2 linked regions of the Danio rerio genome follow. The protein of the gene in region 1 purifies or fractionates together with the protein of each later gene. This does not show direct contact. Links are inferred from orthologs where the notes say so. Each region holds a gene or a part of one and is shown in the gene's direction. Other genes may lie near its edges. The genes, in order: parp12b and rnf114.

What was found.
Region 2: the proteins of parp12b (region 1) and rnf114 purify together in Homo sapiens (affinity purification with mass spectrometry; 3 studies listed by BioGRID and IntAct, counting the BioPlex papers as one, with this or other methods). This does not show direct contact. The link is inferred for Danio rerio from reciprocal best matches to the Homo sapiens genes PARP12 and RNF114.

What each region holds. Positions count from the first base shown.
Region 1 is NC_133179.1:10,382,061-10,386,398, reverse strand, and holds the start of parp12b (protein mono-ADP-ribosyltransferase PARP12b), read left to right. Parts: upstream 1-1,350; 5' UTR 1,351-1,462; coding exon 1,463-1,800; intron 1,801-3,814; coding exon 3,815-3,950; intron 3,951-4,338.
Region 2 is NC_133198.1:3,522,186-3,526,644, reverse strand, and holds the start of rnf114 (E3 ubiquitin-protein ligase RNF114), read left to right. Parts: upstream 1-1,581; 5' UTR 1,582-2,090; coding exon 2,091-2,209; intron 2,210-4,209; coding exon 4,210-4,360; intron 4,361-4,459. UniProt on the Homo sapiens protein: E3 ubiquitin-protein ligase that promotes the ubiquitination of various substrates. In turn, participates in the regulation of many biological processes including cell cycle, apoptosis, osteoclastogenesis as well as innate or adaptive immunity.

The sequences.
Region 1 (4,338 bases):
TTCTGCTCTATTCTATTACTCTGTTCTATTCTATCTAATTCTATTCTATGTTATTCTATTCTGTTCTATTCTATCTTATTCTATTCTATTCTGTTATATTCTATTCAAAATAGCCAGAGATCTATTTTTAGCTGTAATTGAGCTACTTGCGGTATTAACTATACATCCTACATAACCCATTATTATTGTTTTTAACTCAGTGTTATTCGTATTAAAATAGGTCTTGTGTTCATAACACTTGTTTGTATTTATAACACTTAGATTTATTGTTACATTAAGTATAATTAATACATATAAAATTAATAAACATATTATAAACAAAATGAAAGTGGCAGAAAAAAAGTAAATATATCTGCCTGTTTGTCTGTTATGGAGTCAGAACAGTCGCAAAAATGATACATTTGTATTCATAAAATTAGTAAAGTAAAAACACAATTCATAAATCCACAACTTTAATTCATAAATTCATCAATAGGGTATATGCAGAAGTATGCAGAAGGACTTTTAATTTTGCAGTAATCTGGGTCAATTAACTGTTTGCAGTTACAAAATCTGCACGTTTAAGGTCTGTTTTCCTTACGAATCAATGATCTCCACTGCCTGATAGATATACGATATAAAGTGGGTCTCAGATTGTACAAGAAGCATTACATTAAATTACATTTTCTCGTGCCATGTCTTTAAAATATGAACATTCATTTTGCTCCAGTATTTTCAGCTGTGTTTCTGCAGTAGCCTGCTGATACTGACAGGAGCATGCATGTAAATGGCTTTTCATCTCGGTTTACGCTTCGACAACTAAATGAATGCTGAAGTCTATTGAACTGATCATATTTTAATTACATTACAACATCGATGCTGTAAAAGGAATTGTATAAAATTTTAAAAAGTCACATTAACCGTTCACCGGAAGTTTATTGGTATGGGAAGAAAACAGTAGATGAGCAAATACCCTATTCAAATGTAAAAAGCAAAAATATTTCCCAAACGCTCACACATATCTTAAAAACATTTAAAATGGATTAAAATGGTTCTTGGGTTACTTTCCTCATGCATTTGTGAACATGTTAGATGTATTTATGAACCCCTGAATGTGCATTGGAAAGTGCTCCCAAGAATATGGAGTCCTTTAAATTTGTGTGGGGTATTTTTAAGACCTTTCTGGCAGGACATGATTCGATACAAATCTTTTTTTGGAGGAGTTGTGGATTTATGAATAGTGCTGTGCATTTATGAATTTTATAAACGCAAATGTATTGTTTTTGAGACTGATCTGGCTCCATAGTCTGTCCGTCATAGTTGTTTTCACGAGACTTTTATTTTGAAAATGATTGGCACTGGAAACTTGGTACCGAATCTTAGCACTACGTTATTGCAGTTTCCGCTTTCATTTATGTAGAAACGAAGACTCAAAAACATCGAAGTACAGTCAGACTGGAGCCCACCCGAGGCTCTCATCTCTATGTCCGATATGTCGGACTGCACTCGGGTCATACATTATGCGACCAGCATATTATGCAGCAATAAAGGCTCCATGGAAATGTCCCAGCTGCACCGGAGGGTCTTCCAGCGTTTTGAGATCAGCGAAGCAGATTTTTGGTACATCGTCAAGAAATGCGCCCGCTTCGTTATGGTCCAGAGCAGACCCGGAGAGGAGGATGCAGAATCAGACTGCACAGTTGTCGCCAAGACATCTCTGAGACTCTGCAAGAAATATTCCAAGAATGAATGTTACGAGTGCCAAGACTTGCACCTCTGCAAGTATTTTGTCTACGGGAACTGCAGATATGGAAAAGGAAGGTAAGTTTGAGAGAACATTTTTAAGCGGTATCTCTTTAATGTAAGATTTTCCTGTCATGTTAGTGAAAAATAAAAATATATGGTAATTAATAAAATGTTAATGATGTAGTTTATACATAAAATACACATGCGTTAAAGGGAAAGTTCACCAAATGACAATGTCCTCACCATTTACTCACACTGAGCTGTGGAAGTCAATAAACCGCTTTGTTTTTCCCAATTCTTCAGAGTATCTTCCTTTGAAAACATAAAAAGAAACTCAAATAGCTTGGGAAAGTGAGTAAATGATGAAAAAAAGTTCAGTTTTTGGGAGAACTATCCCTTAAATGCAAAATAAAATTGTTATTCAGTTATAAGTATTAATTTATTGAAATTAATGATGTCAATTTATTATTGTAGGTTCTGTTTAACCCATTGATCATTTTGTGTAGTATAGTTTTATGATTACTTGGCCTTCTTTGCTTTTGTTTATTTGTTTTTTTAAACGCTTATAAACATGCATTCAAATATTTTGATGCACTTTTTAAATGTATTTTTCCACATTTCAGACTGATAGTATAACAAATATGATTGAATTTAACTTGGCCAACAATTAATCATTTTTAAATTATTACAATCAATATAATTGTACATAACTGATTATTATTACAGCATTATTCATTAATAATAATACTTTTTCATTATAATAAAAAAATGCTTAAATGCTTCATATTTTCTATGGGGATATAAAATATAATGATTGATTGTTTAAAAATACAAAAAATCTGCATATTATATAGCATACACTTTAAAACGCAGTTTGACTACTTTAAAAAGTGAGTAAATCTATTGAAACTTGGAACGGTTAAATTGATTTTAAGTTTTATAATTATGCATATAATTTGTTTACTTAATCATTTTAAGGTAATGAGATTACTTGTTTCTCCTTTGAAAGCATGAAAAGGAAGTCAAATAGCTGTGAATGATGAAAGAATGTTCAGTTCTTGGCCGATCTTTCCCTTAAATGCAAAATAAAATTGTTATTTAGTTATTAGTATTAATTTATTGAAATTAATAATGTCAATTCATTATTGTAGGTTCTGTTCGACCCATTGATCATTTTGTGTAGCATATTTTTATGATTACTTGTCTTATTTTTGTTTATTTGTTTTTTTGAACACTCATAAACATGCATTCAAACTTTTATTTTTCCACATTTTAGATTGATATAACAAACATGATAGAGTTTAACCTGGCAAATGGTCAACGTTTGTTCATTTTTTATTTATTACAATCAGTATTAGGTTTCATTTTATGTAACAGATTATTATTACAACATAATGCATTAATAATAATACTATGTCATTAACATCAATAATAACACACAACATTGCAATTTAAATATATGTATTTTTCAACATAATTAGACTAATAATAATAATAAAAAATGCTTCATATTTTTAATGGTAGTATGAAATATAATGATAGATTGGTTAAAAATACATCAAATCTGCATAAAAACAAATAAACCTATTGTCTTAAAAACAACAAGTTGACTTTACTCTAAAAAGTGAGTAAATCCATTGCCATTTGGAATGGTTAAGACAGGGGTGCGCAAACTTGGTCCTGGAGGGCCGGTGTCCTACAAAGGTTAGTTCCAGTCCCAATCAGACAATCCTGGGCTAGCTAATCAAGCTATAGCCTTTCTAGAAACATCCATGCGGGTGTGTTGAGGCATGTTGGAGCTAAAATCTGCAGGACACCGGCCTTCCAGGACCGAGTTTGGCCATCACTGGGTTAAGACTTAACTTGAATTTTATAATTATGTTCATAATTCATTTTCTTTATAGATTTAAGGCAATGAGTTACCTCACTTTTTTAAGTAAAGCCAACTGATCGCTTTAAAAGCAATGCGTTTACTCACTTTCCTTAAGTAAAGCAAACTAATTGCTTTTTACAGCGTCAGAGTGTTAATGTTCAGTTTCTCTTTGTTAACCAAACATCATTCCATACATTTTGTGTTTGTGTTAATCAGGAAGGAGTGTAAATTCTCTCATAACATCCAGTCACAGCATAACTATCCCCTGCTGCGCGAGTGTACGCTTCATGAACTGAACGAGGACGATCTTTTCCTGCTTCTACTCCAAAACGATCCCGCCCTGCTGCCAGAGGTGAGGAAATGCAAACAGGAAGGCTAATTTAGTCACCTAAATGTTTTTGGACTCCTTTCTCTTGAGAGAATTCCTGCCCAAAGCCGAACTCATGCTATGATTGGGATATTTCTGCATTCCAGGTACCTGTCCTGCCGTTTGAAACACCAATCTCCTTTCAGATGCGTTCAGAGTAGATCAGAGTTCACGTAACCGCTCATATGTTTGTTTTGGCATGCAAAAATCAGCTGCTTGGTTACACCCAAAAAAACAGCGTCACAAGTTTTGAAGTAATCGAATATTCGAGTATACATTTGGTCAACCAGAAAACACCAAGAATTTTTTGTAGTGTTATATCCCGGATAAGAAGCAATCTGTGCAATACCACCAATTAAAATAGATTTTTTAA
Region 2 (4,459 bases), on another chromosome or scaffold:
CATTACCAAGCCGCCCTCCTCCCCATCATCCAGCGCTCCTTACCTTCATGTTCCGCTGGAAATCCCCACCGCCGCACTGCGCATGCGCCACACTACCTCCCATGCGCGCTCCCGAGGCCGCAAGCTGCAGTCAGGACTAGCGCTGGGATTCGGATTCATTCAGCGAGTCGGTTCGGCCACATATTTTGATTCAATGGAGTCATTTAACAGCAAAAAGCAAATATATCCAGATAAATACAGACTTAACTAAAACATAAAAGAAAATAAATTAACTAAAAATCTATTTAAATATTCAAGAATGAATAAAAACACGTAACCTCAATATAAAAACTTTTACAATATCAGCAGCTATAGGTAAGACATTATTTACAATAGACAGCAAGTTTTCTATTCAATTAGCTTCAACTCCTTTGCAACTATCATCGTATTTTGACATTTCTTGCTATCAATACACTGTAGCGAGTATATTTAAAAATTAAAATCTATAATGAATACCTTTAAGATTTAGTATTATTCCTTCTACGGATATGAAATTTACCAAATAAAATCAAAATATTCATTATAAATTCCACAGATAGTTTGTTTCAGTCAAAATAAATTAGCACATGATGTTAAATTCCATCTAAAACCCGATACATACAGAGATAAGTCATCCCAAAACTTCTTTTAATGCTGACATTCAAAAGACTCTGAATGATCTAAACAGAATGAACAATTTTCATCAATTTGCATGAATTTAGATAATGTATTAATACTAACATAAATGTTCAAATCAATCATTCTAAAAAATATCCTCTAGGCTTTAAGGCTCTGTTTAAAAAAATACCTTTGATTGTACATGCTTTACTAAAAAAAATCTAAATAGTGTACACAGGATCAGTTCTATGAATTCTATTTTAAATGTGAATTGTTCCATTGTTTATGAATGTCTGGATTTTTATATTTCTACCAACAAATTTTTTGAGAATAATATTAAATAATACACAACATGTGAAATAATAATTTTTTAAGTAAAAATTGCAACATATAACTAAGAATTGCATTTTTAAGATTATTCTCAATTGTGAAATTGTATGTTAAATGCTAATATTTTGATCTACGTTTCTAACAAGACAAATGCAAGAATTGCGAGGTCAGATGTTGTTTTTAGATTTTACAGGCATTTATTTACTATTCTGGGATAAAAAAAAAGCTATGTAAAAGTTAATTAAGATTTGCGAGATATATAACTGTCACATATAAGTATATTTTATTTTCTATTTGAATGTTTATTTATTTTAATGAATCGAAGTATACTTTTTAGATTACTTTTCTAAAACGTCGCCCGTATTCAAGTTTCACTCCTAAAAATGTTCTACTTTCATTAATTCTGGTAATAAATGAAAGCAATTATTCTAATTTGCTTTGGAAAGACTTCCCCCTTTGTGTAATGTAATTATATATATATATATATATATATATATATATATATATATATATATATATATATATATATATATATATATTAAATATAAATATATATGTAATTAAATATATAGTTTAGGGTAGGCTTAGAAACTTTTTTGACATTTGTAAATCATATACTATTTTCTTTTAATTTATGATGATGTAAATATCCTTATGCATTTCTTTTAAAACATTTTTATTTAAAGTTTTCATTTTTTTTTTCTTTATACTGTGACTAGATTTTGCATTGCCCATCAATAATAAAAAAAGTAACGTCAAAAAAACTTCTACGTTCTTATTTTACAGTCTGATTCAACCTCCAATCGAGTCATTTTCACATTCATTCATTCGGTCGGTCATTTAAAAGAGCCGGTTCAAATGACTCGTTTATGCATCGGAGAGCACTAGCGAGATCTCGCTTATAACTACGCACGTAAAAGACAACACAGCCACAACAGATGTAGCCTACTATATGTTGCATTTATTTGTTAGCAAACGGCTATTTTTATTTGTCGTACGTCTAATAAGAGCTGTAATGTTGTTTCTCGTTCATGTGCATCAGGAGATCAGCTGAGTTGTTGCTCCTCCCCTCACAAAAGTGAATCTCACTGGAGTTCAAGAACACGGAACACAGCGCAGCAGAAATGGCCATGCTCAAAATAGACCCGCAAACCGACGTAAACGATGCTGAAGACGACGACTTCGTGTGTCCCGTGTGTTTGGAGATATTCGTCCGGCCCATGACCACGCAGTGCGGACATACGTGAGTATTCTGGAGAGCTCATGTCTGCTAGCAGCAACTTCTCGGTTGACATGTTGAGTAGTTTAATGTTAATCCCCTCATCACCTCAAAGCGATTCACAACCTTCGTGACCTCCGCCTTAATCTTAATGTGATTGTGTTGGACACTGTTCAGTAAGTGCTGTTGTTGTGCGATTTTTTTTATAAGACAGAAACTGGTTACTTTCAGTTTTGCTTCTTGTGTACAAAACTTTGCAGTGTGGGATTGTGGGAGTTGTAGTGTACACGTAATTAGAACCGGAAAACAACACCCAGCGCCTGTCTTGTCAGATCAGATGTGGCCTTTCAATTACAAGCATTCCTGGCAAACATCAGTTAAAAGTGCAAAATAATAGCATTTACAGAGTATTTGTATTTGGTTAAGGTGCTGTAGGCAGTGTAGGGAAGGCGGTTTTTAAAATGTATTTCACTTTAGATTAATAACGTGTATTTTTAAAAAAGTTAAGTTACTCAATCTGTTTGGAATATTAATTATTAATAGAGCAGTAAAGAAAAGTGGAATCCACAAAACATTAGACATTTTTAATTCATTTTTATTTATATATCAGTTACTCAAAAAGGCAATATAATGATTTTTAATGAACAATTGAGGTAAATTGTACTTATTTAGTATTAGTATTAGCTGCTGAAGCACAGTGATAATTGAAAATGTATACTTTAGTTTGTGTAAAAGTTTACACCCCCTGCTCTTAATGTGAATGTGCTGAGTGTCAGGAAACATTTTCACTTTCGGTAAATGTTTTGCTTGAGTTCGTCAGTAAACATGGGCATCACAATCACACAGTCACTGTTGTAGGGCTGTAAAAATATAAAGAAGACGCAGTAAACTGAAGAATTTGCAGGAGCTGAAGGCCTTTTCTAAACTACAGCAGCTGGTTGAACTCTTCAGGACAATCAAATGACTCATTAAAAACCATCACAAACATTCATACAGTTGATTCAGGGGTGTGTAAACATTTCAACAGGATAGATTTAGTCAGTTATTATTTTGTCTTATATGTAAATATCTAGCTCATGTGGAGTAGTACCAGTGGTGTAGCGGACGGGCCAGCAGGGCACGCTCCGCGGGGGGGCCCCGCGTGATTAAGGGCCCCGCCTTGTTGCGATTTTTAATAATTGAAAATCCGGCAACCACAATAATCAAACCCCTGGGAACAACTGTGGTCGGAACCAAAGTTCCCAGGTCTGTGTTCTCTCAACTCCTCTCAAACGGTGGACTACTTCATTCTGATTGCTTGCCGCCGAACCACATCATAGCATATTACCATAAAGTTGACTTGATTTCAAGTCCTCCTCGATGCCCACACCGGAGAAGACTCGACGCGCTGCTCCTCGCCACCGGTTCTCATTGAAATTGAAGGACTTCCGGCTACTTTGACGCTCTCGCTGCTTGTTTGTGAAGGCTACCCCGCGTCGTCGCTCCACCCCGCCCCCCTTTCCCGCTCCTTAGTTTGTGATGGCTCCTCAGTTTGTGAAGGCTTCCCCGCGTTGTCTTTCCACCCCGCCCCCCTTTCCCGCTCCTCAATTTATGATCGCTTCCTCGCGTCGTTGCTCCACGACTCTCCGTGTCCCCTCAGTTTGTGATTTCCCCCCCATCAGTGGGCCCCATTAGTGATCCCTGCAGGGGGGCCCCCACATTTTGCGCTATGCCACTGAGTAGTACTCAAAACTAGCATTCACTATGATCCATCCTATTTTGTTGAAATTATTAAAATTATTGTATTCTGCAAGGCAGGGTGTGTAAATAGTACTCATAGTACTCTTCGTTATAGTAGTAGTACTAGTCATCGTCATCGTTATGGTAGTAGTAGTAGTGGTGGTGGTGGTGAATGATGCATAAGCTGGGGACACTTCAGCAATGTCCAGTTCATATATTCTGATGAGTGATTTTTTTTGTTTAATTATTTTTTGTTTTCAACTGAAAGCACTCAATTGCAGTGTTTTTCTCTCTCTTCCGCTCAGGTTCTGTAACGACTGCCTTCAGGAGTGTCTGCGGCCCCAAAGCCCAGTGTGTGCCGTCTGCAGGACTGATCTGCGCAAGTGGGCTAAAGATGACCATTTACAAGACCTTATGAAGAGATCAATCGGAAAGTGCAAAGGCTGTAAAAATGAGGTCAGTCAAGTTTACATGGACACCAATAATCTAATTATTTTTCTTAATCTGAATAAGATCTGAATATGATTAAGGTGTTTACATGAGTGGCTTTTTGAA